2 linked regions of the Saccharomyces cerevisiae S288C genome follow. The protein of the gene in region 1 interacts with the protein of each later gene in a pairwise test. Each region holds a gene or a part of one and is shown in the gene's direction. Other genes may lie near its edges. The genes, in order: POG1 and DMA2.

The links.
Region 2: the proteins of POG1 (region 1) and DMA2 interact in a two-hybrid assay, tested with the Saccharomyces cerevisiae proteins (one study listed by BioGRID).

What each region holds. Positions count from the first base shown.
Region 1 is NC_001141.2:128,791-132,355, forward strand, and holds POG1 (Pog1p), read left to right. Parts: upstream 1-1,819; coding exon 1,820-2,875; downstream 2,876-3,565. Other genes in the region: putative glucosidase SIM1, read left to right, coding at 1-791; QDR2 (cation transporter), read left to right, coding at 3,454-3,565. UniProt on the Saccharomyces cerevisiae protein: Transcriptional activator which promotes cell cycle recovery with CLN2, after pheromone induced G1 arrest, probably inhibiting the ability of STE20 to activate the pheromone response pathway.
Region 2 is NC_001146.8:406,330-410,683, forward strand, and holds DMA2 (ubiquitin-conjugating protein DMA2), read left to right. Parts: upstream 1-2,011; coding exon 2,012-3,580; downstream 3,581-4,354. Other genes in the region: malate synthase MLS1, read left to right, coding at 29-1,693; YNL115C (uncharacterized protein), read right to left, coding at 3,790-4,354. UniProt on the Saccharomyces cerevisiae protein: E3 ubiquitin-protein ligase which functions in cell cycle retarding in conjunction with the UBC4 and UBC13/MMS2 complex, 2 E2 ubiquitin conjugating enzymes. Involved in nutritional control of the cell cycle.

The sequences.
Region 1 (3,565 bases):
GCCCAAGTGAGAAATTCCAAGACGGCACTATTCCATGTGACAAATTCCCATCTGGTCAAGGTGTCATTTCTATTGACTGGATTGGCGAGGGTGGATGGTCCGGTGTGGAAAACACCGACACTTCCACTGGCGGTTCATGCAAGGAGGGGTCCTACTGTTCCTACTCCTGCCAACCAGGTATGTCTAAGACCCAATGGCCATCCGATCAACCATCTGACGGTAGATCTGTCGGGGGTTTGTTGTGTAAAAATGGTTATTTGTACCGTTCTAACACTGACGCGGATTACTTATGTGAATGGGGTGTCGAGGCTGCCTATGTTGTTTCTAAACTAAGCAAGGGTGTCGCCATTTGCAGAACCGACTACCCGGGCACTGAAAACATGGTTATCCCAACCTATGTTGAAGGGGGTAGCTCTTTGCCATTGACCGTTGTTGACCAAGATACTTACTTTACTTGGGAAGGCAAAAAGACATCTGCTCAATACTACGTTAATAACGCCGGCGTCTCAGTTGAAGATGGGTGTATCTGGGGTACTTCTGGATCTGGTATTGGTAACTGGGCACCATTAAACTTTGGTGCTGGCTCCACTGGTGGAGTGACATACTTATCATTGATTCCTAACCCAAACAACAGCGACGCATTGAACTACAACGTCAAGATAGTTGCTGCTGATGATTCATCCAATGTCATCGGTGAATGTGTTTACGAAAATGGTGAGTTCTCTGGCGGTGCTGACGGGTGTACCGTCTCTGTTACTTCCGGTAAAGCTCATTTCGTCTTATACAATTAAGCTACGTGACTACTACTTTTCCTTTTTTTTTTCTTTTTTCGAACACATCTCACCCCCTATACCTCACACAATCACTATGGTCCCCTTTTCTTTTTACCGATATTTATACTGTCCACCTTTTTCTTTTCGTTAATGGCCTCAATGTTTCTGTACCATTATCCAAGTGAACTTGTTAGACGACCAAATATAGCCAAGATTCATTACGATTATCTTTAACTAGCAAGTAGTATTCTTGGATAGAGAGATTTTCAAAGACGGAACAATTTTAAATAGATTTACATAAGAAAACACATACTGTCCGATACCCATAAGAAATTTAAGAACTCTTTTCATCTTCAGCTTTCCGGCCTCCTTTTACTGTAGCCTGTTCCTAGACAGCTAAAAATAGTACATATGCAGCTCTGCAATAGTCTCAAAGGGGATATTGTGTAGGTTTACGAAATCATCACATTTCCGAATCAGGACATGAAGGCACAACTTTCCGCACGTAGTGTTTTCAGCCCCCAGCGCCTGTCGGCGCGAAGAGGATCTGCGGAGATGAGCTTTGCCCCGCCATTACCCGTAAAATATTACTGTTTTGGGCAATTGTGGATCAAAAAGGGAAAATGCGGATGGTGAAAAAAATTTTTGGAAATTTACTGCTTCAGATGGGGGAACTTTGTAAGTTCTTCCTTTTTTTTCGTAGAGGTTGGAAAATTCAGAGTGCTAAGAAATTAAAAGGTATGCACTGCCTATTCTCATAAAAGCAAAAGTGCACAAAAATAATAAGGTGTGAAGCAATAGTAGAAAAGACACTGGGAACCCAAGGTATCTTATTTTAACAGATAAGTAAAACTAAGATCAAATCGCGTACTGATATCACTTAAGGTTCGCGTATTTTAAAGGCTACGCAGAAGAGGAAATAAATTGCGTGCAATCCCTGCGCTTAACTCATACAAAAAGGCGCAAAACATTTCAAGAGTCCCACGATTAATTGCAGAAATTGAAAAAAAATAAGTAAAGACGAAAATCAAAGTGGATGCCATATTATGAAGCAGGAGCCACATAGACAATCCGAAGAAAAAGAGAAGCCGAAAGGACCAATGGCTGTTGAACGAGAGCAGCATACCTCATTATCTTCTGGTACAACCGTGACAGCTAGTACAGGAGACGAGAGTACCAACAGTAGACCAGTGGAATCATCGCAAACAGAAAAGTCTCTATCGCTTCGAATAAGAATATTAAAACAACTTGGGTTTGACGATATTCAAGAACTAAATGCATGCGACACTGGCCTAGTGGAGCAATTTTTAAACGTACGATTGATAAACGACACAAAAGAACTAGAAAAGATACGCGAGTCAAATCTTGCGAAACTAAACCAGATTATTGATAAATGTATGGAAAGTGATAAAATAAGTGATTCGACATTAAACAAGATTCTTGATATGTCCATGAATAGAGATACAAATAATGATAACAACAATCATCTTACGATACCGTCTCCGATAACGACAAAGAAACGCAAGATAAACGCCTCCGAACTTGCAAGTCCACGAGGCCATAGAAGATATAGATCTGATATACCTACAGTGTCAGAAGTTGAGACAGGGGTCGGATACCCTCAAATACACCAGCAACCAGGCGCATATACTTTACCTATGCCTGCAAATCAGTGGATGAGCAACCCGTATATGCAACCTCCGCAACCACAAGTGCAACAGATAATGCCGCAGTATTTATATCCACCAGGGATGGGACCACAAGCTCAGCTTCCTACAATGAGCTCAAACTCGGAGTCCCAGACACCAGTGATGAGCTCACAGTTTCTTTCCTTGAACCAGCATGGCCTTTACCAACAAAATATAGGTGCTCATCCGGTAATGAGTATGGGCCCACAGGCAAATATATACGGGCAGCAGCACCAGCTGCAACCTGGTCAGGAACGAGACCAGTCAAGAAAAAGTTTTAGTCATAGAAGGTCACAAAGTGCCAATATTTCCATGGCAAATTTTAGGTCGCCCATGCGAAATCCCCAGCCGGCTTCGTCCCAAAGGCCCGTCAATTTTCTCATTCATACACCAAAACATCCTCCTCCCACATGACGTGCAGTAATTTTCATTTTTATCACCTAATTTCTAAAACTATATCCCTTCCTAACCTTCATTCGATGCATCCGTCCACCTTACTTCAGTTCAAAAAAAAATATATATCCATATATATGCTACAGTGTTATTATTACGATTTCTTTGCCTTTACTCCTTATCTCATTTCAATCATGAATAAACAGGATATTGATAATATATGCTGTCATTTTGGATTCAGTCTGCTTAACTGTCTTGTCCACCCCCGGTGTTCTTACCCGTCTGAGCGGTCGTAAGACGGAGGTAATAATTTTTCAGCATCCTGACCTCCCCCCCAAATCTGTGCCTTTCACCACATTTTTCTCGAGAAAATGTGTCTTGGCTCAGATGATGTCGTATGAGCTACTGGACTTTTTTTTGTTGGCCCTGATGAAAATAGTAATGGCGGTTACAGAACAGATAAACGGCGTCACCATCTTTTCCTAGATAAAGAAGCAATCTCTAGATAATGGGGTATATAAATATACATTGTAAAAACGGCAAGTCAGTTGCTGGTCATTTTAGTAGAAACTCTGCTCTCAAACTTGAGTACTGCAACGATGGCAGGAGCAACATCAAGTATAATTCGGGAAAATGATTTTGAGGACGAGCTTGCGGAGAGTATGCAGTCATATAATAGAGAAACTGCAGACAAATTGGCTTTGACTAGGA
Region 2 (4,354 bases), on another chromosome or scaffold:
AGTAAAAGCACATAAAAGAATTAAGAAAATGGTTAAGGTCAGTTTGGATAACGTCAAATTACTGGTGGATGTTGATAAGGAGCCTTTCTTTAAACCATCTAGTACTACAGTGGGAGATATTCTTACCAAGGATGCTCTAGAGTTCATTGTTCTTTTACACAGAACTTTCAACAACAAGAGAAAACAATTATTGGAAAACAGACAAGTTGTTCAGAAGAAATTAGACTCGGGCTCCTATCATCTGGATTTCCTGCCTGAAACTGCAAATATTAGAAATGATCCCACTTGGCAAGGTCCAATTTTGGCACCGGGGTTAATTAATAGGTCAACGGAAATCACAGGGCCTCCATTGAGAAATATGCTGATCAACGCTTTGAATGCTCCTGTGAACACCTATATGACTGATTTTGAAGATTCAGCTTCACCTACTTGGAACAACATGGTTTACGGTCAAGTTAATCTCTACGACGCGATCAGAAATCAAATCGATTTTGACACACCAAGAAAATCGTACAAATTGAATGGAAATGTGGCCAACTTGCCCACTATTATCGTGAGACCCCGTGGTTGGCACATGGTGGAAAAGCACCTTTATGTAGATGATGAACCAATCAGCGCTTCCATCTTTGATTTTGGTTTATATTTCTACCATAATGCCAAAGAATTAATCAAATTGGGCAAAGGTCCTTACTTCTATTTGCCAAAGATGGAGCACCACTTGGAAGCTAAACTATGGAACGACGTCTTCTGTGTAGCTCAAGATTACATTGGGATCCCAAGGGGTACAATCAGAGCTACTGTGTTGATTGAAACTTTGCCTGCTGCTTTCCAAATGGAAGAGATCATCTATCAATTAAGACAACATTCTAGTGGGTTGAATTGCGGACGTTGGGACTATATTTTCTCTACAATCAAGAGATTAAGAAATGATCCTAATCACATTTTGCCCAATAGAAATCAAGTGACTATGACTTCCCCATTCATGGATGCATACGTGAAAAGATTAATCAATACCTGTCATCGGAGGGGTGTTCATGCCATGGGTGGTATGGCTGCGCAAATCCCTATCAAAGACGACCCGGCAGCCAATGAAAAGGCCATGACTAAAGTCCGTAATGATAAGATTAGAGAGCTGACAAATGGACATGATGGGTCATGGGTTGCACACCCAGCACTGGCCCCTATTTGTAATGAAGTTTTCATTAATATGGGAACACCAAACCAAATCTATTTCATTCCTGAAAACGTTGTAACGGCTGCTAATCTGCTGGAAACCAAAATTCCAAATGGTGAGATTACTACCGAGGGAATTGTACAAAACTTGGATATCGGGTTGCAGTACATGGAAGCTTGGCTCAGAGGCTCTGGATGTGTGCCCATCAACAACTTGATGGAAGACGCCGCCACTGCTGAAGTGTCTCGTTGTCAATTGTATCAATGGGTGAAACACGGTGTTACTCTAAAGGACACGGGAGAAAAGGTCACCCCAGAATTAACCGAAAAGATTCTAAAAGAACAAGTGGAAAGACTGTCTAAGGCAAGTCCATTGGGTGACAAGAACAAATTCGCGCTGGCCGCTAAGTATTTCTTGCCAGAAATCAGAGGCGAGAAATTCAGTGAATTTTTGACTACATTGTTGTACGACGAAATTGTGTCCACTAAGGCGACGCCCACTGATTTGAGCAAATTGTGATCTCCCTTGCCCCAGTGTACACATATATAAAAATATATTCATGCCTATATGATTATGTATCGGAATCCAAAAACTTATCTTTATATTGCTTCGTTTCGTAGTTAGCAATGAATCATCTTATCATGATTCCTTTTTTTGTTTTGGCCAGATTAATGTATCACGGTCGACGGCGAAGGCATCAACCATTGTTGTGGAATTTCAAACACAATACTTGATGACTCCAAACGTGGGCATATATTTTGATTTGAAAAGAAGTCGAGAAAGTATAGCAACGCATTGTATACGTTTGAAGCTTTCAGCAAAGGATATACCGTGGAAATGTACACGCCTATCCCTGCTAATACCCCTGCTCCCACTGCACCAACTTCATCGATGACGTCCAACTCTTCATCCGCATCAAATGCCAACACCACTAGCAGTAGTGGCATAAACCCAAGGAACAGAGCCAGTGGTACTCCATCCAATGAGCGGGCTCGTCCGGCGTCGGGTATCAGTTCGTTTTTGAATACCTTCGGAATTAGGCAAAATAGCCAGACAGCTTCTTCTTCTGCGGCTCCTGATCAGCGTCTATTCGGCACAACCCCATCTAACTCACATATGAGTGTGGCCATGGAAAGTATCGATACCGCTCCGCAACAGCAGGAACCACGTCTGCATCATCCTATACAAATGCCTCTGTCGGCCCAGTTCCACGTTCATCGCAACTATCAACTCCCCATCTCCATATCTCTCACTGCCCCTACAACCACAGACCACCAGCAATCATCTGCGCATAATTTCGAAGGCAACAATGTTGGTAACGTTCAAGAGTCTTTGAATCAGCGGCAGCCTAACGGTACTAACAATACCACAACCTCGATAATTTCCATGGCGCCAGCGGCTACAACGAGAAATATAGTCGGTGGTGCAGATGGATCTACTATTGTTAACAACAGTCAGGAAATGTATAAGAATTTACGTCACTTGATATATGCTGCAAACCAGCCAAATGGGACCGAAATTTTACATTTGGATTTACCTGCAACAAGTGCAGAGGAGTCAAACAATATGTTCAATGTAGATGAGGTCACTTTGAAGCAAAGGAAAGATAAGCATGGTCTTTTTAGTATAAGACTAACCCCATTTATTGATAGTTCGTCCACGACAAATCAAGGTTTATTCTTTGAACCGATTATAAGAAAGGCTGGCCCTGGATCCCAATTGGTTATTGGCCGCTATACTGAGCGTGTTCGCGATGCAATTTCTAAAATACCTGAACAATATCATCCAGTTGTATTTAAATCCAAAGTTGTTTCAAGGACACATGGTTGTTTTAAAGTTGACTCTCAAGGTAACTGGTATATAAAGGATGTGAAATCATCTAGTGGAACTTTCTTAAATCACCAAAGGCTCTCACCCGCTTCCTCTTTATCGAAAGATACCCCTCTTCGTGATGGTGATATTTTACAGTTAGGAATGGATTTTAGAGGTGGCACGGAAGAAATCTATCGTTGTGTAAGGATGAGGATTGAGCTAAATAGATCATGGAAACTAAAGGCAAATTCGTTCAACAAAGAAGCTTTACAGCGTTTGCAGAATTTACAAAAATTAACTACAGGTATTGAAGAAGAAGATTGTTCGATTTGCCTATGTAAGATCAAACCGTGTCAAGCAATTTTCATATCACCATGCGCACATAGCTGGCATTTCCGTTGTGTAAGAAGATTGGTCATGCTCTCATATCCGCAATTTGTTTGCCCCAACTGTAGATCAAGTTGTGATTTGGAGGCCTCCTTTGAAAGTAGTGACGAGGAAGATGAAAGTGATGTGGAAAGTGAAGGTGATCAACTGGTGGATCAACTTAGCGTCTTAATGGAAACTTCAAAGGATGTTGATAGCCATCCTTAAGGTCAAAGAAAATACACAGTTTGAAAAATAAAGAAAAACCACCGAACTCCACATCTCGTACCTTAATATTATTTTAATTATTCTCTTAGTATTTATATATTTGCGCCGTTTACATATTTGACTTATTGTTTTCAGGAATACAATACCTCCATCGTTGGCAGTCAATTTTGCTTTCACATATAAAACTAAAAAAAAAGTAAAGAACTCGGTTAATCCTCGGTTAGTTTGCCAAGCTCACCTATTAATCTTAATAGGACTTCTTGAGTTTGTTGTTTGCCCAGACCATACTTATATATTTCATGCCCACCTTCAACTATTTTCCATTCTTGAGTCTTGTGAGAAATTTTGGTCAAATCTCTTTGCCAATCGCCCCATAATGCCGACTTCTTCACCATTTCCTTAGAGCTAACGATGCTTGTCTTCACATTTTGCAAAGATTCTGCATTGTTTGTCACATCTCTGTAACTTAGAATTGAACTCGTCACGCTTTCCAAAAACTTGGAACGCAAGAAACGTCCTTGATATTTCATATCACGCCCATATATACGTTCTTTAGACCCATGATGAGCTAGTAACCATGAAGTCTGTAATCTCCATCCTAAACTCGACCAAATGCCTTTCCACCATAATCTAAATTCGTTATGCCTTTCTATCTCCGAAGGTAACCAAGTCTTATCATGGTTGCGGCCATCCCCATCATTACCATTGCCATCGTCGCCATCGTCGCCATCACCACGGCCTGGAGGTAGTAATCTTTGAATGTAGTTTTTTAAC